Linked DNA regions of Nothobranchius furzeri. Each later gene encodes a partner of the first gene's protein in a complex. Links are inferred from orthologs where the notes say so. Each region holds a gene or a part of one and is shown in the gene's direction. Other genes may lie near its edges. The genes, in order: tmem216, tmem107l, mks1, cc2d2a, tmem17, ahi1 and tmem231.

Region 1 (4,048 bases):
ACAATTAAACATTTTCTCCTGCAATCTTTGGGTGATAAATGATAGACTGAATGAATTTGAATTTATAAAGAAAACCAATAGGCTACTTCAGATGAAAAATAGAATAACCCAATTTTGTTTTGTTTTAGCTCTTTATTTGATGAATAATAGATTCATTTGTGGGAAAAATAATAAAGCTTGATTTGATATTTTATTAACGTAACTATATATTCTACAGAAAACACAAAAAACAAAACAGGTTTAGACCATCGACATACACATTAGACCCGTTTTTAATCCACGGGTGCACGTGAAAGACTGTAGAAACTCGATAGATCCAAAAGGGGGCAGTAGTGCAGCCCTTATGATGAAGAGGACCGAAAAAGAAAAACCAGCGCGACCGGAAGCACACAGACATGTAAAATGTAGAAGCTGCACTGAAATCCTCAGACTGCATAATGCATTTATGGCGTGAAATATAGTTTTCCTTTTTTGATTCATTACAAGCCTAAACGTTTTACGATTACAATAGTGTCGGAATAAACAGACAATATATATTTAAAAAAAACATACAACTGGTGAATAATTTTGAGCTAATGAGTTTGGTTTCTTTTAGTTTTAAAAACAATACATTCTTATTGATTTGGTTTAACTAGCACAAAATTATCTTAAGCTCAGTATACTGAAACGATCGATTACCCTGGTGATTGTATTACATTTTATGAGTAACAAACAACAAAAAAAGGCCTAAATAAAAAATAGCCTAAATTTTCTAAATTACTTGATTATTAATCACGAACAATTTTTATATGAAATAAAAATATTTTGATGAACACAAAACAGAGGTAAAGCCCAGTTTCAGTTAGACACCAATTAAACAAAATTAGTTTTCGTCACGTTTCTAACTAAAGATTGAAATGAATCGGGATTTGTCTTAATCCTGCTGTTAGTGTCTGTAGTGCAGTGCAGGCAGCTGATGGAGACTGTTCAGGGTCATCCTGACCAAATGAAGACGGGTGATGATCTGAATACATCTTAAAAAATAGAAAACATGAAGGCGAGTCACTTCTGAGATGCGCCTAAAATGTTCTGCACTGCGACCGGTGTGGATGGATTAAATTTTAAACAGAGATGTTCCGTACCACTGATGCTTCGAGTATGGATTGGGATTAGAGTAGTAAAAGATCTGCTGGCTTTTAGCTGTAAGCCGTTCCAAAAAGCCTGAGTCTGCTTCGCCCGTCTCCCTCTCCAATATGGCGGCTTCGAAATTACATAAAAGAAAGCAGCGTGTATGTGTTCTAAGTCTATGGTATCCATAGCAACCAGAAATCAAGACATGGCGCCTGGTGAGTTTCATGCAGTTGTTTGTTCCTTATAAACCGAATAAAAGTCCGCCGTCTGAATCTGTCGCGATGTTTATTTGGACCCAAATGAAAAGGGAAATGTAACGTTTTCGTTTCCGTTTGGAGGAAAAGCTAAAGAAAACGGCAGCCGAGGTTTATCTTGTCTGTGAACTGAAGCTAAGCGTCTGCTCGAACTGCGATGACCTAAAAATCAACACATTACTTATCAGCGAACACGTTACTGCGTATTACTCCTAAAAGCTACGCAGTAACAAATAATCTTTTTATTGTGGAAAACACGTATTTCGTGCTTTTTTACGTAAACAAAAATATTATTTTATAGATGCAAGATCCAGATGAGTGATTTTCTCTCTATATAAATAGCATTTAGAGCTAGTTACATCATTTAGCCCTACTGTTTTTCTTTTACTATTTTATCCATCAGTAGTAAGTCAGTAATTTTACTGATGCTGATTTTGAGCCTACAGCATACTAATTGCAGATGTTAATGAGAGCTTGGTTCTGTCTCTTCTGCAGGAAGCCAGCCTGTTGTATCCTTATATAACTGGCAGCTCATGTTTTACCTGCTGCTGTTATCCTTGACCGTCTCTCGTACAGCTCTCATCCACTCCTCTGCAGGTGCTCCTGTACCTGAACAGCTGGTACTTTGCTGCCTTCTACCTGGCAGAGATCCTCATGTTCATTTATAAAGGTCTGTGACATATTTACCAAATTTCCCACTTTCACAACAGCAGAAACTATAAACTCAGGAGGAACCATGATTAATCACATCTCAACTGTGCCTTCATCTGCTTTAGTTTTCAAATAAATCCTCAGTGTTCATGAGATAACACCTGGCAACCAAACAGCTCCTTGATGAAACCTTCTCTGTGGAAACCAAAAAGAGATGTGGTCCATTTTGTCTGTGCAGGAATCTTGTTGCCGTACCCATCAGACAATCTGGTTCTGGACGTGGTTCTGCTCCTTCTCTTCCTCGGTTTGGAGACTCTGAGGATCTTTTATGGTAAAGAACAGAAACAGCAAACATGAGTATTTAGAAATCAGTGTTTACTAGTTCTGTGAGCATGTATACGTCACCTCCTCCGGGTGACCACATACTTCCACAGTCACTATAGAGGCAGAGAATGGGTCTAGGGGTCTCATTTATCAGACATTGCGTAGATTCCTTAATAAAACCGTACTTAAGCTCAGCAAAAAAAAAGTACTTACGCCAAGCAGGTTTGTGATCTATCAAACATGGAGGACGCACAGCTGCACGCAATCTCCGCTTCATAAATCGGAGACTAACGAGAATGTTTCTCAGCTGCTTTTTAGTCACATCCCGCCCTCACCACAGCCACTTACTGCCATAAATAGCCAATGCAAAGTGCCTTGTGGATCTCATGCATATACATAAGCTGGCTTGTTGCAGCATTTCGATCACGACCGCAGATCAAGGAAGCGCTATTTCACAAGCAGAAATTCAGGTACTTGTGGGTGAGGTGGAGAAATGAAAGGAAGTGCTTTTGCAAAACAAGAGAAATTCCACGGAGTGGCACAATGTTGCTGAAGCCATCAATGTTTTGAATTCTTCAGAGAGATCTGTGGCGGATATAAAAAACTTTGTCCAATCAGGATTCGATCCCCAGACTCCCAGGTGAAAGTCACGCACGCTAACCAGCCACCCAAACAGAAATCTCCCCTGTACAAGTAGCCAGGGCGCATGATCAATCGGGTCACGGTGACAGGACGCTCACACTGTCTTGATCTGTCCCCCTGCTGATATTCTGCATTCCGTATTCTGCGCTTTAGGCTGTGTGTGTGTGCGCGCGTGTGTGTGTGCATGTGGGGGTCTTGTCTGTGTGAAAACGAAGCAGTACAAGTGATAATGCTGCAGGATTTCATAATTTTATCCTTCTCGGCAGCACTGCAGGTGCTCTCCATGTCCAACATGTGTGTAAGCAAGGTCCTTAGTCAACTTAAAGTTGCGCACATTTTCCTGCTAAGTTTTCTTTCATAAATCCCAAAGTTTGCGTGGAAAGTTCCTTACGCAGTTTTCCGACCCCGTGTTGTGTGTAAGCAAGCTTGATAAATGAGGCCCCAGGTCTATTTGTTTGATGCGCTGTCAGCTTCTCATGAACCCACAGAGAGATGGGATGCATTTCTCCATTTATTATAGCTTTTTACTGTTACAGGTGGCTTTAACTTAATTTGGGTCAAATCCCTAAACATAACGTGACCATGTAAACAAAGTAAGACGAACTGAATTGTAATGGTCAACAATAACTACGGCTACCCATCCCTCCTCTGTAAAACCACCAGGCGACAGACTGACAGCTCCTTTTGATTGCGACCACCTGCACCCATGTGGCCCCTGTTGCGTCACCATGACAACAAAAAGAGGAATAAAACAGAAACCCAGTGATCAACTCTCCCAACACATGTATTTAATTATGGCTCTACAGCACATGTAAGGACTTGTTTTTAAATCCCTGTGAAAATCCTGCACCAGACTGTCTTTGATAAATAACTGAACACAATCATTAAAACTGAAGCTGAACAGTTATATTAGTTATAACATAGAAGTCAGTGTCTCAGTTTGTGTGAACGTGTGTGTCTGAACACGTCATCCAGCAGGAGCTACTGAGAAGAACTCGTGAAGTGAAATGTTTACTGTAAACTCTTTAAACCTCTGATACAAGACTAAGCAGCCAAACCAGCTCTGA
Region 2 (4,170 bases), on another chromosome or scaffold:
GGTGTTTATCTGAAGCCTCTTATGTTCGGCCTTGTCAAGTGAACAGAGTAACTGTGTAAAGTTAGAATAACCAGAAAGAAAATATGTAACGAAGTTAGCTCACATTTTCTCTCAAATGTTTAACAAACAATAAAAATGTTAAATTCACGAAAAAAAGCATGATGAAAATCAGTTTCCGTGGACGTGGTGGCTCTTTTCCATCACTGCAGCTAGAGGGCGCAGCATCCCGTTTCTATGACAACCAGCATCATCTCTGTCTTTTCGTGTGCACGGCCCAACGCCTCTCGTGCTATTTTCTAACATATTTAAATTAGTCCAACAGTAAAAAAATCAAACGCATCAACTTCAGCTTCCACGTTTTAAATGTTGTTTTGTTGTTATTTACACAGTGCCAGAGCTTTACTGTGACGCTGATATCATGTCTCCAAACGGAATTAGCACGCTCCATCATCACAGCTGGACACATCTGTATGCAGATGGCTTCATATCTGAAACATGGGGGGAAATCCGCTAAAACATCCAGACTGAAACTGCACAAATGGCTGAAGTGACTAATAAAGCCAGCGTCATACTCACGTTGATGCGAACCAGCGCGTCCATGATAGAAGTAAAGGTTTGGAACTCCGACTCGGCCATGATGCTTTCTCGATTTAAGCGACTCAAAAGGATCTCCTGGAGAAAACCCCGGCTGGTTGTCTTCTTCTCCTGGCCGCGAGGCAAAGCCCGGGCCTTGGCTGGTGCCGCTCCGCTGCTCACGCACGCTGGATCGGTTCAGTCTGCCTCGGGGGAAGAGTCCACTGGTGGGATGGGGGTGGGAAATCTCTGGCTCAGACCATCTAACAGAAACACATTCGTTTCTTATTGCGCTGTTTTGTTTTACAGGCACGTTTATCCTGCCAATTCCAATTAAACATGCGGTTGTTGTTTGTCTTTTTAAAAATAAAACCGTTTTATCCAACAGCGAACGGATCTGGTGGCCCTTTCTATTTCTTTCATTTTGTCTTGTTTTTTTTTTCGGGGAACCTGAATTTTCGGGTAGTTTTAAGCATTTTTATGATAAAAATGAAAAGACATCAGGTGTTACCATCAGATCGCAGTATTGATGAATAAAAAAAGCAAATAAATAAACAAATAAATAATAAATAAATAAATAAATAAATATCCAGCTACACGTCAAGCTACACCTCTTTTACTAACTCTGACCAGGAAAAATGAAACGCGCTGACTACCCACCGTTACTAAATAAGATGTTTGGGTTTCTCTGTTTTATATTATTTACTGCTGATTAAAAACTCTTTTACGTGACGCGTTCATGGTCAACGCGGAACCGTTTAGGTGTTCGTTTTTTTGTCCGGTCATTAAAACCGTATGCACATTGTCCGTGGTTGTTGTAGCAACCGTTAGTTGCGTCACAACGTGAAGTTTTTGGCTCTGTTAACGAACGAGACACAAAACTAAGCTATAGACTTCGCGAGTTTTTAAACAAACAAATGAATCAGCTGGTTTATGTCATTAGCCGCAAGATAAACAGATGCTAAAGTGTTCGTTTAAAGTTAGCACATTTAGCTACATGCTAGCCTAGCTTACTGAGTGGTTTCCGTCGCAGTAAACAAAAACCTTTTACTCTTTTTTTTACTCACGAGCTTTTAGAGTTTTACTTTGCTGATTAGGATCACCATGTCGGCCATCAGCAGCCTTGTTCCTGCTCGGTTTCTCACCATCACAGCTCATCTTGTCATTGTTATCACCATCTTTTGGTCAAGGGTAAGAAAAAAATGGTTTATCTTTAATCTGATTTCTTGTGCCTGATTTTATTTTCATAATGGAGAAAACTTTATGGGATTTTAGATCTGTGGTTTTATTAGACGTTGCTGTTATATGAAATACCACAAAGGTGAACACACAAACACATTGTTAGAAATTCTGCTTAAACATCAAAGGTAATTAAAACATATTCCTTGTTGTGTTATAAAACGTCATTTAAGTTCCAGGAAGTGTCCTCATTGACCCCTAACCAGCATGTTCTGGTTGTTTCCCTGCCCAAACACACCTGATTCAATGGTTGAGTCACCTGTTTAGCATGATTAGGTCTGCAGAAGCTGTTAATCACCTCTAGGGTTGTCACGGTGTGAAAATTTAACCTCACGGTTATTGTGACCAAAATTATCACGGTTTTCGGTATTATCGTGGTATTGTTTTAAACGTGTTACATTTTCAGGAAACTAAATAAACCCTGTATATCAGGAAAATATTGTCCTCAGTTTGTGTCTAAATTTTGCCTAAAATGTGTTATTTTGTAATTATGTTGTTTATTTGTTTACATATTTCCCCTTAAGTCTTTAAAATACCAATATTTGCCCATAACTTTTCTTATTTTATGTCTGTTTGATGTCATCATTTTAAAAATATTAGACCAGATGATACTCAGTACTCAAGTAGCCTTCTAATCAGATACTTTTTACCCTTACTTGAGTAATAAACCCTATATCAGGAAAATATTGTCCTCGGTTTGTGTCCTTCCAGTGAGCTTTGCAGATGTGGGAAAATGGCATCAGGCAGTAATCGTTGTTAAATTCATAATTATTCTCGGAGAGAGACCAACTCTTATCTGCCCCTGGGAGCCCCGTAATGCATAGCGTCATTTCAACATGGCGGTGTCCGCGACACGGTTTATATGCAGGTAGCGGCGCTGCGGCTGCTTTATATAGCGACTCGTTGCGTTCTCCCTCAACCCAAATCCTCGGATCACGCATTTTAGCTAAAGCGCTAACGTTAGCTTGCCTTGCGTTGACTGTAGAGTTGTGGGTGATGGTCACGCAGATGTGTCATGAGATTTGAAGCGTTGCTGCCTTTCACAGACACTTTTTCTGCTCGTGCTGCAAACAGGATAGCCGTCTTCTATCAGCTTTCCCTCGGCATTCTTCTGGTATAAAAAAATGCCCGTACTTCTGACTTTGTCTTCTTAGAGCGATAATAAATGTCCTGAGTGCTGCCGTCTCCTCCTTTGTCCGTTATTTCAGCTTTAGCTTCAAGAAAGTTTTGGTTGTAAACAACAAAGTGCGCATGTGCCGCCGGCAACTTCAGCAGATGATACGGTGGCTGGTAAGGGTCACCGCGCCTACACCGCAGCCACGGTAATCCACCGAGATAATATAGTTTTTAAAAAAACAAGACGGTTATTATTATTGTCAACTTTTTTACCGGGGTTTACCGCTACACCGGTTACCGTGACAACCCTAATCACCTCTTGGTTAAAAACAGCAGAGCAGAGAAACCACTGAAACATGCTGGATAGGGGCCCTCGAGGTGCAGGGATGGACACCACTGCTCTACGGTCAACATCACATCCAGATTATTCAGCCCTTGAAATAATTTGCAATTGTTTTTCTTTTTATAGGAAAATAATGTAAAAGCATGTTTACCACTGGATTTCACACCAGAGCAGTATGATACCGAAGACAAAAAGTGAGTAGATATGTATGTAACACACTCGTATTATCAGGTTCTCGGATTAAATGATCTCTTTTGTTCCCTCCAGGCTGGTGGTGGCGCTGGCAGTCACACTTGGTCTGTTTGTAATCGAGCTGGCTGGCTTCTTTTCAGGAGTGTCTATGTTCAACAGCACTCAGGGTCTCCTGTGTATCCTTTACTCATCCTTAATGAAATATATATATATATATATATATATATATATATATATATATATATATATATATATATACATATATGACCTTTAATATTCAACAGTAAAGCGACTTCTGGTTAAGGCTGTAACACAAAGAACACGCAGCAGCAGCAGCTAGTGGATAACTAGCTTAGCTCTCTCCCACTTGGTCGGTTCTCTCTAAAAGACAAACGGAATAGCTGAATAAAACCCAAATTACTATAAAATAAAGGTTTGTTATAGGTTAAAGAGTAAGGATGAGTGAATTTGTTATTAAAAAGCTAGTCACTCCCAAATTAACTTTTTTTTTTGCTGATTAACTATATAAATGAGTGTCAATAGTTTTGCTAAGAAATACACACACACACACAGGCTCACAACGACACTGTGACATCATATGGTACCAGCTAACGTTCTAGGGTACCTCTTAGCCAATAGCGATGGCAGATTTAAATTCAAATGCAGTGCAGAGTTTTTACCTGACAACGGCACGACACTGACAGTTT
Region 3 (3,631 bases), on another chromosome or scaffold:
TGGTACGACCCGACCGGGTTTGAACCCCGATGTCCAAGGGCGGACCCTCTACCACTAGGCCTCTGAGCTGGTAACTGATTAAAGTGCATTAGATGAACCAGTGGGAACGTTTGTTTCTTTGCAAACATTTTTCGCTAACCAGATGTTTGTTGTCCAGCCCGCTGTTGGTACGCTACGTTACCTGATGGATGGAGAGATCGGTGAGGAGGACGGCTGTGATCGCTATCTTTTTAGATTACCCATCAACTTTCAAACTACCACTCTCTCTTTTCCCTCTTTTTCTCTTTAGTCTCGGCTAAAGGATTTGAGTATGATAACTTACACGTCCACTTCGTCCTGGATCTTCCCAATAGTGAGTAACAAGCCGTCTGTGATACTCATTTGTGATATTTAGTTTTAGTGAGATCTTAGTAAACTTTTTTGTTTTAGATTGGTCCAGCTCAATGCCCCAGTTTCTGTCAGGGGTTACCCAGACTTGTCGAACCAAATCACTGGGGAAGGTGTGTGTTTGACGTAAGAAACTGGTTACTTGCTTCAGAACATGAACACTGACACACGTTGATCTCTGCCAACAGGAAAATGTGGCTTTCTTCAGTTACCCCTTCAACTTTGAGATTTTTTACAAGAGTGAGAAAGAGAGTGAAGGTCAGCGTGAGCCTTTTCATTTTGAAATGATGTGATTTAAAAGTCTAAATTTAAGTGTTTTCACTTTTTTTAATTTCAGAGCTAATTCCCCAGTGGCCAGTGCTTTACTTCAAAGTTCTTTCTCTTGACCTGTGGGGGCGCTATCGTATTGAAGGCTATGGTTATCTGCTTTTTCCAGCTATTCCTGGTATGCTGCTGCATCTATAAGACTCATTGACTAATTTACTTCTTTATTATTTAGATGATTTTAGATTCACATTACTGTTATTTTTAATTGTCTTTAAAAGTGTTATTTTATTTTAGTCCAGGGATGTCCACCCTTGTTCCTCAAGAAACCCTACCTAGCACGTTTTAGTTGTTTCCCTGCTCCAAAGTACCAGATTAAATGGTTTGATCAGCCTTCTAATCCCCTGCTGATTGAAATCAGTAGTGCTGAAGCAGGGAAACCTCTAAAACATGTAGGACGATGGCCCTCCAAGACCAGGATTCGACACCCCTGACTGAGTTTTATCTACTGAACATTCAAAAACAAAATTTAAAGATATTCAGATAATTCACCAAAGATTGTACTACAAATGAATTCATACCAACAATTTCAAATATGCAAGATTTTTAACTTCACATGGTTCAGAAAAGTTAATAATAATTCCTCTGCATGCTCCATCATTCATCTCCATCATATATTCTGTTTCTGGTGCATCCCAGGTAAGCACACCATGACCTGTCACACATGGCGACCTCTTCAGATGGGGACGGTCTCTGCATTGAGGCGCTTTTTTATCGGAGGTTCTGCAGAGATTGAAGATCACAGCTATGTCAGAATACCAGGGACCTTCAAGGTGCACTCACAGCTAAGCTAATTCCAGGTTTTGAACCTTTGCATAAATTTTCTCCTGAAGGTTTAATGGGTGAAACATGATGTTTTAAAAATATACATTGTGGTAGTTGTAGCATTATTTCGTTATCACCAAGTTAACTGTGTATACCTGAGCAAGCAAGTAAATTAATGCATTATTATGATTCTTAATCTGGTACAATGGTGTCTGGTTTCAGGGAGACAGGCTGAGTCGCTTGGGCTTCTGCAGTCTAACCTCAGGAAGTGTCACATTTAATCTGAACTGCATCCAACAAGCCAGGTAAAGACCAGTTTAATCAACAAGCAGCTGTTTCTGATTTTCTCCCTGACAGCTTAACAGTTTATATGGAATGAATAAAACATCAGAAGTGAGATTTACTCTCTGCACTGCATGCAAAACACTATTTCTTAATGCAAATGCAAGTGTTCCATTTACAAATTTCACAAAGATCTGTATTATTAATGCAAATTGTTTCATCTTTACTTTTAAAAAGTGTTTACTGTTCGCTTCTGGTTGTTTCAGGGCCTTTGTTGACGCTGCCATTCAGAAAAAGAGGAGGCAGAAAGTCATCGACCAGCTGGGAGGATTTAGTCAGCAGGGAGATGTTTGCAATGTTCTGGGTAAACATACTCACACAGTATTTGCATCAGGGTTTAAAAGACTTTCACTTCCTGTTTGCTGCTGAGTGTATCCTTGTTTGTGTGAGCTGTGAGTTCTGTGTGTGTGGTTAAGTGAAAAAGTTTACTGTAATCAGGCTCTGAATGTTCCACCATTTATTATTTTTACCATGAAATGATTTTATGATAGCGGGAGTGAAAATTAGCATAATGCCACCAGTTAGCCTCTGTCAGCGAGCGTCAGGGCAGCTGTGGCTACATCGTAGCTCATCACCATCAGTGTGTAAATGTGTGTGTGAATGGATGAATGATACACTGTAGTGTACAGCGCTTTGGAGTCCTTACTCTGAGAGGCGCTATACAATTATGGGTCATTTATCATTTAGATTCTCGTTATTTCAAACCACTGGAAGATGGATTTGTTAGGACACTCACAAAATGTTATGGACTGTATACCAAGCCTTGCATTGCAGCTTGATTGCCCAAAGTAGACAAAAATGTAGAAAGAACAGGGAATTTTTCTGCAGGGTTAATTTAATTTGTATTTTCTGTTTGTTTGTTTTATTTCCCTTCAGAGGCCTTTCAAAGAGCATACAAAAAGCTACAAGAGGCCAGAGAAACGTTCCCACAAAAAGCCATCAACTCTACTTCCCAACTCGAGCTGGAATTTTCTGCATAAAAACCAAAAACACACTAAAACTGACATTTCAAGATGCATTTAGGATCCTGCACAAGCTTCCAAAACTGAAAAGTTTGTCTCAAGTCATCTTCTGTTCTTCTCAGACTGTAACTGACATTTTATTGACAAATGTTATTAACTTAAAAAATCATCAGAAACGATTTATTACACCAACATTAGGAGATGGAGCATAACACTTGTCTAATAAATGTACTATAATACCAGCAGTTTTTTTTTACAAAATTCAAGGTACTGTTTTCTTTTATTATTTATTTTACTGTTTATTTTTCTTATCTGAAATAAAGGTTAACTAAATAAAAATTAAATATGCAATGAAGTGGTATATTTTCCCCATTTTTAAAACAAAACAAATGGACTGAAACCCGCATTATCTGACTGCGGGTTGTCCTCCAACGTAGCATTCGTTTTAGCTCCAAAGGGAAGTAGTCCAATTTTCCATGACTGTAAACGCACCATTCTCCATCTTCCTCCAACCAGGGAAAGGACCGTTCAGCGATTTTCCCTCTCAGTTTCACACACGACCAGGTACTTAAGTACACATATTTCACGTTAATTTTGCAATCGTGTAATTTTTTGATGTGTAAATTGTGTGTCTTAGTCAATGTATGGCTGCTTTAGCGTATCTCTAGTAGGCATGTAGCGATGGGAACTGGGCCGCTGGTCGCTTTTCTCTTTTTTGTGTCAGATTTAGCCTAATGCTCAAACGAAAACTGAAATCGGTTTTCTGAAACTAAAACCCTGGTGGTTATTTAGATTCACTGTTTGGGGCTGTTTACTGCGGAATGAGTGTTGATGCTTTTTTTCGTACATAG
Region 4 (3,500 bases), on another chromosome or scaffold:
CACAAACAGACATGCAGTTAAAAACAAATGCTGAGAGTTTTGTTGTGCAGCGAATGCTGGATAATGTTGTTATCTCTGCTGTCTCTCAGCCGCTGAAGTCCATGTACGGTTCATCAGACCCCACGGGGGACTACCAGATCGATGTCAATGTGTCGGGGCTGATCTTCTCCCATCACCCTCTCTTCAGCCGTGAACACGTGCTGGCAGCTCGTCTAGCTCACCTGTTCGACCAGTATCTCACCAGGAGGCAGAGTAATCTCTCAGGACACCTCACTGACAAGGTAGACTTCACCAGATACTGTGGAGAGGTTACCACGGCCGTACCACAATGCTTTGACACAGCTGAGTGTTTGTGTCCGCTTTAGTTGAATGGTTTAAGGAATGCTTTGAGGAATGTGGTGAAGGTCCACGGTGATCAGGACCTCCCTCAGGCCCTTCAGAGGAGGATTTTTGAGTACAGCCTTGAAGTGAGGTGAGGTGGCTCATTTATGGGCCACTCCCATCGGTACCGGGCCGACCCGGGACCGATGGGAGTGGCCCATTAGATCCTAATATGTCCAGAAACATGTTGGACAGAGTTGGCAGAGTTTCCCATGAACGTTCCAGGAATACTCGACACCTGAGAGATATGGAGCAGGAGAAGGACAGAACTCTGCTAAAGAACATCATCAAAGTGTGGAAGGAGATCAAAGCTCTGAGAGAATTTCAGACATTTACTAACACACCATACAAGCTCTACCTCAGAAGGTAAGCTCTCCTGTTCCAGCCAACCCTGACTGAAAACATCATTTAGAAATTTCCTTCAGTTTTCTATTATAAATCTTAACAGAATTATGTTAATTATACTTATTGCAGCAGTCTGAAAGGTTTTCTATTCATACCATAAATGTGCTGCTTTGTTTCTTGATGCTTCAGAGAGAACGTGGACCTGGCTGCAGATGAGCACATGTACGAGGAGGAAATCCTGACAGAAGCTTTGGAGATAGAGGCAGAGCATGAGGAGGACTACCAGAAGAAGCTGGCAGAGTACAAGAAACAGCAGGAGGAGTGGAAGCGCTGGAGGAAGAAGCAGGTGTCTGACTACTGCTGCTGGAACCATCACAAACACCGTGGAGTAAAATAAGGCCAGCCTTGTTCTTGTAGGATTGCATATTTATTTTTGCACATATTTTTATATCCCATGTTTTCAGAAAGCCAAAAAGAAGAAGAAAAAGAAGAAGAAACGAGGTCAGACACAGGATGATACAGACGAGGAAGATCAAGACCAGGAAGGGAGCGAATCAGAAGGACCCTTTGAGGAAGGTCCTCCTAAACCAGAACCCCCCGAGAGGCCGGACTTTGACTCCATAGAGCAATGGGTGAGAGAAAAAGCCTCGAGGATACGCAGGAAGCCAGGAGAGGTCATTCTGACCCCAGAGCTGTCTGCATCAGGAAGCATCACACCCAGTGAACTCTGTCCCAGGTAAACCGTATTCATCACAAACTGCAACACCCCTTTAACTGGCACGTTTCATGTATTTATGGAAATGTTAGTCGATGGCATGAGAAGACTGCTTATTGTAGTACTTTACATGCTTTTATCCTGTTTGTTATGCTCTCTCGTTTAAGGGCTGAGGTTGCTCGAAGAGAAGATGTTTCCAAGCGATCGCTTTTCATCAAAGTCCTGTACAATGACAAGGAAGTTTCCCGAACAGGCAGCTGCTCCCTGAGATCTGACTTCAGGGTGCAGTTCACCCAGCTGTTCCACCTCAAGATCCTTAACTGTCCCCAGAGCATGAATCTGCAGGTGGAGTAGAGGAACTCTGAATGCACCGCAAGGTTGTTACTGCTGCAGCTGCAGTCTGTTTCTCATCAGTTCTGTGTGTGTGTGTGTGTGTGTGTGTGTGTGTGTGTGTGTGTGTGTGTGTGTGTGTGCGTGTGTGTGTGTGTGTGTGTGTGTGTGTGTGTGTGTGTGCGTGTGTGTGTGTGTGTGTCTGCGTGTGTGTGTGTGTGTGTGTGTGTGTGTGTGTGTCTGCGTGTGTGTGTGTGTGCGTGTGTGTGTGTGTGTGTGTGTGTGTGTGTGTGTGTGTGTGTGTGTGTGTGTGTGTCTGCGTGTGTGTGTGTGTGTGTGTGTGTGTGTGTGTGTGTGTGTGTGTGTGTGTGTGTGTGTGTGTGTGTGTGTGTGTGTGTGCGTGTGTGTGTTGTGTGCAGGTGTTTGAGCAGATTGGATCATCCTCCTCCCTCCTGGCTCAGGTGTTTGTTCCGGTACCAGAACCCTCAGTGGTTACAGGCAGCGCTCCTGTGGAGACGTTTGAGTTTAGCAGCAACCAAAGAGTCATGTTTGATCATGAAGGAGTAGGAAGTGGTAAATACTGTTGTTCATTTCTGCTTCACTCGCATATGTACAGTGCCGTGTAACATTCCTGTTCCCAACAAGTGTTCCTGTTAAGATTTACTAACAGGATCATTTTCAGTCAACTATGGTGTGCAGTGTCCTTAAAGTTCTCGTTCACTGAGAAACTATAATACTTGTTTTTGGAAACAGTCTGTCATGCTGAGTTTCACATGCAAGCTGATCATGAAAATAGTTTCTACCCCTATTTCCTGCATTACTCTGCCGATAGAAAACAGACTGTGTGGTAAAGCCGTACAGATCTACGTCACAGGGGAAAACTGCCTCGCCCTTCTTGGCTTGCCACCACCCACAGAAAAGCTGTATTGATTTAGCATCCAGGAGAGAGCAGAGCACATGTCAGCTAGTAGAAGCTAATCATTAGCATCTTCACAACGTGGCAGAACCTCTTCAGGCTTGTGTTGTTTGTGGAGAGAAATCATCATTTGTTACCCAAGTAAGAAGAAGGATTGAAGGCAGCAGAAGAGTCAAGTTACTGTTAGCCAATCAGAGGCAAGATGTTGGCATATCATGAATATTAATGAGTAAGTCTCCAAATCCTGCTGCGCCACCCACCCACACACACACACAGCTTCTACACTAAACAGCATACAACATTTTAATCCATACTGTAGGCCTCGGCAGATTTATAGAACAAATGATTGAATGAGAACTTTCAAAAATGAAGGCAGAGTCTGAAAGATCTTAAAACTTGCAGATTTATAGTTTAGGACTGTCAGAAATGATTGAACTAAGCAGTAGTTCAAGTCTCTTAAAGCGAGGTTTTGTTGAAATGTTACGATCGATCGACGTCTTACTTGTAGCTATGAACAGCTTCAGTTAGGAGTAACAGAGATTGGTTTTGACTAAACATTTACAAACGTTCCTAAAACTTCACAGCAGTTTATGCAGATGCTATTTTATAACCTTTACCATGCCATCATTTTTCACATTTGAAGTATTTTCTGGCTGAAATGTCATAAATTCAAGCCAGGAAGAAACTGGTCTCCTTAGTTTTAGAGTCACCGCTGAGTTTGATGTGAATAGCTGTTTAATATAAAATATATGGTGATGTAAATGTTTATGAAATAGCACTTACATGAGCTGCTAGTGTTTTAGATTAGTGTTG
Region 5 (3,544 bases), on another chromosome or scaffold:
TCTTCATCAGCTTTGAACACATGTAGCTGGACAGAGAATCAGCTGCCTCTCTTGTTGCAGCCATCCTAGTTTCTGCTAGAGCGGGAGTGGCTTCACACACAATCAGTAATTTTCATTTTCTCTTAAAGCAAAAAAACAACAACTATGAAACAGGTTTTTTCCTCCTCCTGGTGTTATTTGCCTGACTTGTATAACTAAAAAAAACTTACTGAGCATGGTTCCCATAAGTATGGAAGCCCATTCCTGCCACTCTGATTAAAAAAATGTATCTCATAATTATGACTTACCTATCTCATAATAACAAGACACAATCTCATTATTTAGGGATAGCGTCTCATAATTATGAGATACTATCTATTCATTTCAGCCCCACATCTCATCACGTAGGGTGGAAATTAATCATTAAATGGTATGAATGGTTTGATTAATTAAATTTCATGAACTATTTTTTACTGATTCAAGACTTTGTTAACCCTCCCACTGTCTTTATGGGTGACCCCGCGAGGAAAGTTGACCATAAAGCAGGATTGATGGTTTATCCCTTGAGGTCCACGTGGCAGGGGTGAGGTGGTGCTCACTCCTCACCCCTGCCACGTGGACCCAAGGGATAAACCATCAACCCTGCTCAATGGTCAACTTTCCTCGTGGGGTCACACCCATTAGGACAGTGGGAGGGTTTAAATATGTGCACCAAATTTTACTGGTGCAGAGAGGGAGGGAACTAGACAACACCTATTGAATACATACTATTTTTACATACACATTTTTTGCAGAAAGCCACAATTTTGTTTCACTTAAAACATTGTCAAAGAGAATCAACAGAGGGTTCGATAGAATGTTCGAATACTAAAATGTTCGATAGCTGCAACCCTAGTATCACTATAATGAGATAGCTAGTAAAAATTATGATGCTGTCTCATAGTAACTAATTATTCTGAGACATAAAGCCATATCAAATGCTATCTCATAATAATGAAATGAGATATTTTTTAATGAGTAGCGTTAATCAGCTTCCATAAATATTATTTGAGCTACACATTATACTCTCCCCCCTATCTAGTCTCGCTTTTTAAATTTTTATTATCAATGTAGTTAAAATCTGGGAAGTTTTGAAAACGCAAAAGGAGACACGTTTTGCTTCTGGCCTTTCACTTTCTCTCACCCCCACTACCATCAATGGTTACCATGGAAACGACGGTGGCTTTCACGACGGAGCTAGTAGGAAAAAGCGGAAGTGTTTCTCCTCTGGTCATGTTGTTTTTAGCCTGATTTTCTTTGCAATGGAGCTGCCGGAGACAGTTAGGAGGCGCTTAGAAGATTTTTCTCGGAATGTTTTATTCGACCAGACTCGTAATGAGCCGTTCTCAAAACACAACGACTCGTTTATACCTCACGGTAAAAAAAAAAAACAAAAACACAAGCTAACTATGAAGTCGAGTTAGCATGGATGTTAGCATGGATGTGTGTAGCCTTGTTACTTTACCATACCGATTTTAGTTAGTTCCCCTCATTTTTTTTGTATGTGTTTAGACAAACGGGTTCTGTCCAGCCTCCAGCTCCAGATGTCTTTGTACTTTAACACGTGGTTCTTCCCGTTCTGGTGGATCAGTGAAGCTGTGATGCTTCACCTCAAGGTACGAGGTTGGTGGATGGAAGCCGCGAGCAGAAAACCCAGAAAGAAAGAAAAATCCCAAATATCTAAGCTAGATTTAGGATACTTTGGTGCTTAAGTATGGATATGTATTAAACTATAGCAATTCATTTTAGAATCAGATTTTTCATGTATGTTTTGAAGCTTCCAACACAACAAGAATGCTGATGGTAGTTGTTCTTGCAGTATCCTGCCCTTCCAAATTACTACAAGTTTGTCCTTGTGACTGTTCTTCTACTGATGACTCTGATTGAGGCCATCAGACTTTATCTTGGTTACTCTGGAAACCTGCAAGAAAAGGTGAGACCATCTCAGATGACATGATACAGGTGCTGAATGCAGGGTGGGGTTTGAATGTAATTTCTGATCTGTGGAAGGTTCCAGAGTTGGCCGGCTTTTGGCTGCTGAGCATCCTGCTGCAGTTTCCACTCATTCTTTTTCAACTTTTTAATGAAGCCATAATCATACTGCCCTTGGAGAGAGGTGTCCACATAGTTCTTGCCATATTTATCCTCACACAGGTATGACTGGATTCTCAGCTCCATTTTACGTGGCAAATGCACCTAAATACACATGTTATTGTGTTTTCTCAAATTTGAGATCAAGTAATTGTGACTGATTGTAATCTGTTTTTTTTTTGTTTTCTGATTGATCCAGGCTGTCTTTGGTTTTGTGGCCCTGCGGGAAATGGTTAGACACACAGGAAGCCAGTTTCATCTCCAACAGTTTGACTGACGTCCACATATGTTCTGGTGTTCCATTTGATCAGGATTTATTCTTACTTCATACCTCCCAGTCTCAAATGACAAAAACTATGTATTTGCATATAGGATTTGGTACACTTTCTTCACACAATTTTAAATTTAATGCTAAAAAATAATAGAAAATATTTATTTTTGTATTTTGTTCCACTTGTATCATTGCTTTTGTAAATTTGAAGTAAATCATGTTTACTTGACTCACTCTGTACTGTTAGTTAGCATCTGGTTTAGATTTGTTGACCATTTAGTTATTTTTTAATTACAAAAGAAATTTTTGTACAAAGTTACCGACATTTACGCTGCTCTTTGTTCAGGAGCTTTTTGCTTCAGAGGGACTGAAACGTTCTGACCAAAACAGAAAGTTTCAACAAAATTCATGAAACACCCAAGTGCTTTATTTTATTTTATATTTTTTACAACATTTATTTTCATGTACTGAAAATATTATTTGAGAAATCATGAGATTGCATTAGAATAATCAGAAGAATTAAAGCATGTTATTGTCACAAGACGAAGAGATAAGTGAGATTTGGTATAAAACGTATGTGTTTTTCTGTTAGATCTTCCCAATGAAGCATCATTGTCACAAAAATAACTTGTTCTATTAAAATGCAGCTGAACTTTGAGAAGAATCCTGGCACCCGTTTCACTGCTTTGTCTTGATTAGGTTTGTGTTTGATGTGGAGGACGCCTGAAGACAAGATCTGTTTCTAAAACGATGCCGACTGCTGGTATTGGTGGAGGTGAAACTCGTCAGCGGCTGGTTTTTTGGAACAACAGCTGGAGCCATGCTGGTAGACAAAGATGGGGGACATCTGCCATGAAAGCAACACAGCATACAAAAATTATGAACACACAACACACCCTTTTGTAATAAACTATAATCTATCCATGAAGTTTACCTGCCAGGTGCTGCAAAAGGAGATGTCAGCCCTGAAAGAAGAAGGTGGTTCGCATTAGGCAAAAACCGATGGAGACTTTAAGCTGCTGTTCAAGAAACAAACCTCTGCAGACTTGAGAGTGGGAAAGAGATTGGCGCAGAGGGAAACGCTGGTGCTGCGCAGAGGGAATGAAAGTTGGAGGAAGTGGAAGGAGAGCACTCAGGTGTAGTAGCTGAGAGGAGCATTTCCAC
Region 6 (4,116 bases), on another chromosome or scaffold:
CTAGTCCTCCAGCTCGCTGTTAGCCAGCACCGATGAAATGTGTCCATCTGCAGAAGAAGAAAGCACAAATCTCCTGTCTCATAGATCTAGTCTAAAAATCCTCAGAAAACTAACATAAAGCACAAACCAGTCCCGGACCGGATTATGTTCACTAGTACAAACTGCTCCTTCTTTTTGATACTTGGACGATCTATGATTGAATTACTCAAAGACTTTGGGTCATGTGAAAATGCTCATGCATCTAAATAGGAACTTTGGAAAATGAAAACAGAGATTTTAATGGAACATTTCTGCAGCTTTTCCTTTCATTTAAACAAAAATCCTTTTGCAGCTAATCTGGGCAGATCTCAGATCAGGGGTACCCAAAGTGCGGCCCTTAATGATTTTGTACATGGCTGTTACAGAAAATATATGGAGAATAAACTTAAAATGGAAAATAAATTAATAAACCCACGATTCTGATGGGTTTCACAAGGAAAACTCATGAGACGCCTTTAAAGTTTTATTGATCATTTTTTGCATAAATCTGAAATATTTTGGTATTTTCATTAATACGTTTTTATTTTTATTTTGAGCTAATCATCAAATAAGTGTGTTACTATTTGAATCCTATTTCATATTTCATATTTCAATCTCAGGTGTGTTCCTTAAGCAGGTACATTGAAGGTTTCTCTGAAAACTTCATTTACTTTTTGTTCAACATCTCCCCAAAATCTCTTCAAACGATCAAAAAGTCCTCTGAGCAACCTGGAGCAGCTCTCATAAAAGCCGTGATTCTTCACATGAAATGTTCTGACACTTGTGTCTGCTTCACCTGCAGGACTCACCTGTAAAGTCACAAGACTGTTATGTAATGCATAATTATAGTTTGTGTTAGGAATGTATATATAACTGTTCAGACACTTTACACATTTGTGCAAGTATCAAATAGAAAATCTATAGCTCAAGACAACTTGAATACTCTGACATGATAATTTTCTTAATTCATCCTTCACTGAAGTTACAAAGCTCGAAAAGTAAACCATGAATGTATGTGTTCTCCAACTTTTATCTTAATTAAAAATATAGCATTTTACGGGTAGAAACGTATAAGTAAATTTAATCCTGACTAATTTGTGGGAGAAAGAAGTGAGCCACACTGTTTGCTTTGAGCTCTTGCAATAAGTTAGGAAAATCCAAGTTTATGTTCGTCTTTGAACGCAGCATTTGGGGGGAGCTACACTCATTACGTGCTATAGCGTTCTCGTGTCCTTAAATTTCATTGGTTACATTTTTGTTTGTTTATCTACGTCGCTCCGCCCGTACGTTGTTGACTTGGAAACCATCACGGCGTTGTGCGGTAGAGGACAGTTTAAGCGTAACCCGCGTTCAAACAAGGAGTTTCAAGTAGAAAGCTCACATTAACTTATTAAAAACAATTATATGGTTATATTTTGGTTCAATAATGTATTTCAATAACAAAGATATAACTTTTTTAGGCGTAGTACGTGACCAGAGCAATTTAGCTAGCAACTAGCTAACTAGCTTCTGGTGAAATAGCTAACAAATATTATTAATAAAACATCTCGTGTGTCTCCGTTAAGCGGACACGTTCTAGTATCATTAAGTGAAACTTAATGCTCACTTTAGAGTCGCGAATGTGAGCTGCGACATTTTGCTTTGTATTTTAGATACGCTTTTTTCTGGATTATTGGCGTTTTTCCCTCAGAATGAGAAACAGCACGATGTTTGAAAATGCCAGGTGAGTGTTCAGCTGTCCTGAAGCGACTAAAGAACAATTTTTGTGAATAAATCAATTAAAAAATATATAGAAATTATTTAATAACTAGTAAACCAGTCAAATATCTTTCAGTGACCACCCAATCCAGAGATTAAAGTTTTACACTAAATAAAAAATATATATTAAGTGTTATTGTTAAATTAATATTAAAATCCTTTTAATTTATTACATTCTCTCAGATTATTTGATGTTGTTTTGTATTTTCATGGAAGTCAAACAAAACCAAAGCTGGCAGTAGCTCAGGAGGTAGGGCAGGTTGTCCAGCATCCAGAAGGTTGCAGGTTTGATCCCAGCTCCCGCCAGAGAATTGTGTCGTTGGGCAAGACACTTAACCCATCTTGTGGTGGTCGGAGAGACCGGTGGCGCCCGTGTTCAGCAGTCCCCCTTCTGTCAGTGCGCCCCAAGGCAACTGTGGCTACATTGTTGCTCATCATCACCAGCATGTGTATGTGTGTGTGTGAATGACTGATTGTGTTGTGGTGCGCCTTGGGGGGTTGTTGAACCCTAAGAAGGTGCCGTACTATTACAGGCCACTACCATATGTAATCAGTGTTTTTTTACAACCACTTACAAATTCAGCAAATGATTCTAAAGTGTTTATCTCAAGCAACTTTTGTAATCAAGAATTGTATAGATAACAAAAAATAAACATTTCCAGGTGTGAGTGAAGAGACCCGGGAAAGATTTAATGAAGTCTTCAAAAAATATTCAGGATCTGAGAAGAAAAAGTCAAAGAAGAAAATCCATGAAGCAAACGAGACCATAGTGGTAGGTGTTCTGACATGTGCTGTTTTCCACCCAGTGGTTGTCATCAAATGTTCTACATTCTGGCTGCAGTGTTGTATTCAAACTTGAGTTATTTATGAAATATAATTATAGAAAGCATCTGCAACAGAAGAATGTTCTATTTTCTTTAATGTGAACCAGTTCTAGCAATTTAAAATATTAATAAATCACATGTATTATTATTGTCGATCTCTTTTTTCAAAGCTTCAGAATCTGACCAGGAAGCTGAACCTTGAGAAAGACACAGAAGATGACGAAACCATTCTGCAAAACACATATGACCCTGAACAGGGCAGCCCTCGTTATTCCAAAAACAAACGAAGAGAAAAGGAAACAGCAGAACAGGTTAACTGTAACAACAGCAAGGATGAAGAAGTTAAAGCATCAAAAGCCAAAAGGAAGAGTAAGAGGGACCTCCCTTCTTTACCTGTACCCAAAGACATTCCAGAGGACTTACAGGAGGGGGCAAATGCTTCTAGAGCCGACAATACTTTGAATCCAGAAGCTGCTGTTGGTGAAAAGAAACGAAAAGGAAAAAGTAAGAAGGGAAAAGTCAGAGAAAATGTAGAAGATGTTGCAGAGAGTCCGGTGGAGGATCCAGAAGATAAACTACTGCATGAATACCAGCAGCAGATGGCACAGGAAGAGGAGCTGACTGTGAAGAAAACAAGGGTCAAACGGGAAACTGTTAACTCACAAAGTGCTGTGTTGAATAATGATATGGGGAAGAAGAAAAAGAAAAAGCTGAAATCTGTAACAACTGAGTCAGATGTAGGGTGTGTATTTCTCTCTAATTTTAGCTTTATTGTAGTTTTTGATATCAAGAATAAAGTTTAAGCAGCATTTTGACTTTTTTTTTCTTTAATCAGGGATCAAGATGAGGAAGTCAATCCAGATGCTGATGAGGAAAATAAAACTGAATCAAAGGGAAAGAAGAAAAAGAAGAAGAAGCACGGTAGTTTTTTAAAACAAAGTAATTTGTGTAACATAAAAAGAGATTTTGATGAGTTATTTTTCTCAACTTTTTAGTTGTCAAAGAAGAAAGTGAAGCTGAAGCAGCAGAGGAGCAAAAGCCGACATTTGATGACGGTCTTGTTCTGGGAGTGTTCGTTCATAAAACGGATCGCCTGAAGACGGACTTACTGATCTCGCACCCCATGGTGAAGATCCACGTTGTTGATGAGATCACGGGCAATTATGTGAAGAAAAGGGACTGGTGAGAAGAAGTTATCTCTGATCTTATGCTGCTACACCTATCAGCGTTAAAATATTTGGGCTACAGTTTAAAAAAATGTTTTCATGCTCAAACATTTAATTAAAAGTGAAATCTGTTTGTGTTTTGAAGCCATCGACCTGTGTCTTCCTATTATGAGGGACAGAACGTCGACCATATCCTCCCTATCATGACTCAGCCTTTTGACTTCAAGAAGAACAAATCCATCATCCCCGAGTGGCAAGAGCTAATCATATTCAACGAACGCTTTGGCTACTTTGTTGAGCAAAAGGATGAAAGCCCCAGAGTCATCCTCTTCTTTGAAGTGAGATATACT
Region 7 (3,110 bases), on another chromosome or scaffold:
TTCATACATTCTCCTGCAATGCCCTGGTCCTGTAGAATGAGCCCTGGCATTTTTACTGTGATTGCCTGTTTTTATGTAAAATCACAGAAAAAGAGAGATGCTCGGGTCGAGCAGGCTGCTTCATGCGCGTTCACGCTCAGGCATCGCCCGTAGCGTTTGCTATCCGTAGCTTTAGCAGCAGAGAGAGAGGCAGTGCCACTTTGTCGCTGTTCCTAACGCCTAGTGACAAAGCTAGCTACATTTCTGAGGACCCTTAGCTACTTTCTGTAGAACTTTCTTCTAGATATTTCCTGCTAATTAGCAACAAAATAGCCATTTTCACTCCGAACCGTTCTTTGAACGTTGTTTCAGCTGTCATCAAGGATATAAATGTTAGACAGTCTGAATGTTACTAGAGTGTAGCTCACCTTGTAAGATATCTGACTCTCGTGCAGAAGACCTGGGTTTGATTCTGGATGTGAACATAGTTTATTTAGAGTTTATTTTTTACATTAATGGTATATTTTTTACAGTAAGATGCCCAAATTTTTATTTGAGACTCGCTGAACGGCATTGAATTCACAGATAAAAAAGATGTGGGTTCAACTTTCATTTTGGAACAATTTTTCAAGCAAGGGAAGGGAATGATCTGAGCATGCAGGAGGACTGACCCGTCATAAACCTTTGTCGGCTGTGCTGAAGAGAAAGGTACAGAACCAAATTATTTAATTAATTATCTGTGTGTTCTTTTGTCCTCCGGGCCACACACACACACCTACACACACACACACGGGACTGTCTCAGCTGTTATTTTCGTTAAGGAGTGTGCACGTACAGCGTGCACGCCTCGTGTACGAGCCTACTACTGAAGCTGCTGTTATGCTTTTGGCCTGAGGGGGCAATCGCAGGCATTAAAATTCAAAAGTCCGAAAAGTCCCTTTAAATTATTGTTGTTTAATTTAATAGTCAGAGCATTTCTATTTCTCTGGTTTCTGCTAGCGGATGTCGACAGTGGTGATGCAGAGTCTGGCTTATGTGCAGCACTCCTCACCTGTACCTGGAGTTAAACTGTTCATCAGTGGAGACCTGAGGCTTCAGCAGAGGACACCGCTTCCTCATCGGGGCCTGTACAACATCTACAATGTGAGAATAGTGTTTATTCCTTATTTATATTAATTTATCCATCCATTGTCTATACCCGCTTGTCCATGCGGGGTCGTGGGGGGGCTGGTGCCTATCTCCAGCAGTCTCTGGGCAAGTAGGCGGGGTACACCCTGGACAGGTTTCCAGTCCATCACAGGACAAACAACCATGCACACACACCTGCGGGCAGTTTAGAAAACCAATCAGCGTGACAGTCGTGTTTTTAGACTGTGGGAGGAAGCCAGAGTACGCAGAGACACCACACATGCACAGGGAGAACATGCAAGCTCCATGCAGAAAGACCTCAGGTTGGGATTTGAACCCAGGACCTGCTGCAAGGCAACAGCGCTAGCCACTGCTCCACTGTGCAGCCCTATGTTAAATTAATATGTTAAAGTATTATTTTTTGTGTTTACTGACCTAAAGGTGTCAGTGATCGATGGCACCAGCCCCTTTGCAAGTTCCTATGACCTCAGCAACATTATCAGGAGCTACCAGGAGAGAAACGGTAAGTAAGCAGAGGGATTTATTCTCTGCCGACGCCCACGGTCTCGGGTTTTGTATAATGAAGTATTTATAATTTTATAATTGTCTTTTCTTTTTTATTTAGTAACAACTGTGCTGTCTTGTCCAATGCCAGTGTGGACTATAGGACATGCTGCTGGTTCACCTTTTGAGCTTAACGCTGAAATCCGCTACCCGCTGGAGCTCATCAGATATCCTTTCATATCTAAAAGATCACCAAAAGGTGTTGTCTTGTGACTGATTTACCTTTTCGTCTTTAGGAGACGGATTACATAAACCATGACTCAGAGTTATAATTCTTCTAACGTTTTCTTAACTGCCTCCCTCCACTTATCGTCCTGGCTTCTGGGAAACCATCAAGTTTGCTTGGATCCAGTATGTCAGCGTTCTCCTCATCTTCTTGTGGGTCTTCAAACGCATCCAGAGATTTGTCTTTCAGAACCAGGTTGTAACAACCGTACCCATACCTGTAGGAAAACCTCACCTGTCGTGATGCAGAGCTGAAAGTTTATCTTTTAGGTTTTGACCAGATGACACCTTTTGTCAATTTGCTTCATGTCTGTAATGTTTGTTCTTTGGACTTCTCGTTGTTGATTCAGCTATATGTTATTGTCTAATCTGTTTATTCTGTAGGCTTAAGCATTCTAAAAGATGTTGTTATAAGATCATATACATCCTGATCTGCATCGGGGAACAAACTGTTCTTCTTTGTCACATTAAAACAACTTACACATCGTAGATATTACAAATCCTATGTTAAATTACGTGAGTTTCAACAGTTTAGTAACTTTTTTCATCTTATGTAGATTTTTCAACTTTTTTCTTATTTTTAAATCATTAAAAAAATTTTGTTTGATTTTAGCGGCTCAGTTGTAAAGAACATAAGGATATATTTTCTATATTGTTGTTTTTTTTTACACATTTGAAACTGGTTTTGACAAAAATAAAGACTTTTTAAACTTATTATAGCTTTACTGGGTATTTATTAAACAACGTGTGAAAGGAATGAGTCGTTTGGAACTATCATGAGTAAAATAGGAGTTCTCGTATTAAAGCTGTTAAAGCACAACTTCTTTCCTAGGATTAGTTTTTAATCACGTGTTTGTGCTTGATGAAAAAGATTCAGTGGTCAAATAATGTAAAAACTAATTTTCACAGACAAAACTTCAAACATGTAAGCAGGCTTATCCCTATAGTGAACACAGTGGTGGCAGCATTATGGTGTGGGGGTTGTTAAGAAGCAGAATGAAAGAGACTGTTGAGAACTGAGGCCTAAGTAAATGCAGCCAAATCCTATAATCCTCTGCCTCTCCTAAAATAAAATAAATCTGTGAAGATGACAGCTCTGGTTTTCATTTTGAGAGTGTTGTGGATTCTTAAAAAATTCATGCAGCAGACTAAAGACTTGATTCAGCTAATTTCCGTTCTCTACTTTGTCTTCTGGAATCCTGACACATTCTGTT

What was found.
Region 2: tmem216 (region 1) and tmem107l share a complex: the UniProt entries of both Homo sapiens proteins name them as parts of the tectonic-like complex. The link is inferred for Nothobranchius furzeri from reciprocal best matches to the Homo sapiens genes TMEM216 and TMEM107.
Region 3: tmem216 (region 1) and mks1 share a complex: the UniProt entries of both Homo sapiens proteins name them as parts of the tectonic-like complex. The link is inferred for Nothobranchius furzeri from reciprocal best matches to the Homo sapiens genes TMEM216 and MKS1.
Region 4: tmem216 (region 1) and cc2d2a share a complex: the UniProt entries of both Homo sapiens proteins name them as parts of the tectonic-like complex. The link is inferred for Nothobranchius furzeri from reciprocal best matches to the Homo sapiens genes TMEM216 and CC2D2A.
Region 5: tmem216 (region 1) and tmem17 share a complex: the UniProt entries of both Homo sapiens proteins name them as parts of the tectonic-like complex. The link is inferred for Nothobranchius furzeri from reciprocal best matches to the Homo sapiens genes TMEM216 and TMEM17.
Region 6: tmem216 (region 1) and ahi1 share a complex: the UniProt entries of both Homo sapiens proteins name them as parts of the tectonic-like complex. The link is inferred for Nothobranchius furzeri from reciprocal best matches to the Homo sapiens genes TMEM216 and AHI1.
Region 7: tmem216 (region 1) and tmem231 share a complex: the UniProt entries of both Homo sapiens proteins name them as parts of the tectonic-like complex. The link is inferred for Nothobranchius furzeri from reciprocal best matches to the Homo sapiens genes TMEM216 and TMEM231.

The regions. Positions count from the first base shown.
Region 1 is NC_091741.1:65,725,063-65,729,110, forward strand, and holds the start of tmem216 (transmembrane protein 216), read left to right. Parts: upstream 1-1,248; 5' UTR 1,249-1,270; coding exon 1,271-1,325; intron 1,326-1,859; coding exon 1,860-1,873; intron 1,874-1,940; coding exon 1,941-2,034; intron 2,035-2,253; coding exon 2,254-2,346; intron 2,347-4,048. UniProt on the Homo sapiens protein: Part of the tectonic-like complex which is required for tissue-specific ciliogenesis and may regulate ciliary membrane composition.
Region 2 is NC_091745.1:78,310,947-78,315,116, reverse strand, and holds the start of tmem107l (transmembrane protein 107), read left to right. Parts: upstream 1-1,370; 5' UTR 1,371-1,677; coding exon 1,678-1,764; intron 1,765-3,397; coding exon 3,398-3,465; intron 3,466-3,538; coding exon 3,539-3,639; intron 3,640-4,170. UniProt on the Homo sapiens protein: Plays a role in cilia formation and embryonic patterning. Requires for normal Sonic hedgehog (Shh) signaling in the neural tube and acts in combination with GLI2 and GLI3 to pattern ventral and intermediate neuronal cell types.
Region 3 is NC_091750.1:66,889,933-66,893,563, forward strand, and holds the end of mks1 (tectonic-like complex member MKS1), read left to right. Parts: intron 1-157; coding exon 158-200; intron 201-289; coding exon 290-352; intron 353-429; coding exon 430-500; intron 501-575; coding exon 576-645; intron 646-724; coding exon 725-832; intron 833-1,350; coding exon 1,351-1,484; intron 1,485-1,698; coding exon 1,699-1,781; intron 1,782-2,024; coding exon 2,025-2,122; intron 2,123-2,694; coding exon 2,695-2,798; 3' UTR 2,799-3,131; downstream 3,132-3,631. UniProt on the Homo sapiens protein: Component of the tectonic-like complex, a complex localized at the transition zone of primary cilia and acting as a barrier that prevents diffusion of transmembrane proteins between the cilia and plasma membranes.
Region 4 is NC_091748.1:39,034,630-39,038,129, forward strand, and holds part of cc2d2a (coiled-coil and C2 domain-containing protein 2A), read left to right. Parts: intron 1-89; coding exon 90-281; intron 282-365; coding exon 366-472; intron 473-606; coding exon 607-747; intron 748-915; coding exon 916-1,072; intron 1,073-1,190; coding exon 1,191-1,462; intron 1,463-1,608; coding exon 1,609-1,786; intron 1,787-2,190; coding exon 2,191-2,344; intron 2,345-3,500. UniProt on the Homo sapiens protein: Component of the tectonic-like complex, a complex localized at the transition zone of primary cilia and acting as a barrier that prevents diffusion of transmembrane proteins between the cilia and plasma membranes.
Region 5 is NC_091744.1:77,713,092-77,716,635, forward strand, and holds tmem17 (transmembrane protein 17B), read left to right. Parts: upstream 1-1,197; 5' UTR 1,198-1,280; coding exon 1,281-1,395; intron 1,396-1,530; coding exon 1,531-1,634; intron 1,635-1,837; coding exon 1,838-1,951; intron 1,952-2,028; coding exon 2,029-2,172; intron 2,173-2,308; coding exon 2,309-2,386; 3' UTR 2,387-3,044; downstream 3,045-3,544. Other genes in the region: agbl2 (cytosolic carboxypeptidase 2), read right to left, coding at 3,059-3,227, 3,315-3,345, 3,417-3,544. UniProt on the Homo sapiens protein: Transmembrane component of the tectonic-like complex, a complex localized at the transition zone of primary cilia and acting as a barrier that prevents diffusion of transmembrane proteins between the cilia and plasma membranes.
Region 6 is NC_091758.1:20,120,883-20,124,998, forward strand, and holds the start of ahi1 (jouberin), read left to right. Parts: upstream 1-1,316; 5' UTR 1,317-1,734; coding exon 1,735-1,741; intron 1,742-2,438; coding exon 2,439-2,548; intron 2,549-2,770; coding exon 2,771-3,342; intron 3,343-3,435; coding exon 3,436-3,521; intron 3,522-3,595; coding exon 3,596-3,782; intron 3,783-3,911; coding exon 3,912-4,104; intron 4,105-4,116. UniProt on the Homo sapiens protein: Involved in vesicle trafficking and required for ciliogenesis, formation of primary non-motile cilium, and recruitment of RAB8A to the basal body of primary cilium.
Region 7 is NC_091744.1:86,205,128-86,208,237, forward strand, and holds the end of tmem231 (transmembrane protein 231), read left to right. Parts: intron 1-978; coding exon 979-1,122; intron 1,123-1,548; coding exon 1,549-1,630; intron 1,631-1,732; coding exon 1,733-1,838; intron 1,839-1,977; coding exon 1,978-2,140; 3' UTR 2,141-2,610; downstream 2,611-3,110. UniProt on the Homo sapiens protein: Transmembrane component of the tectonic-like complex, a complex localized at the transition zone of primary cilia and acting as a barrier that prevents diffusion of transmembrane proteins between the cilia and plasma membranes.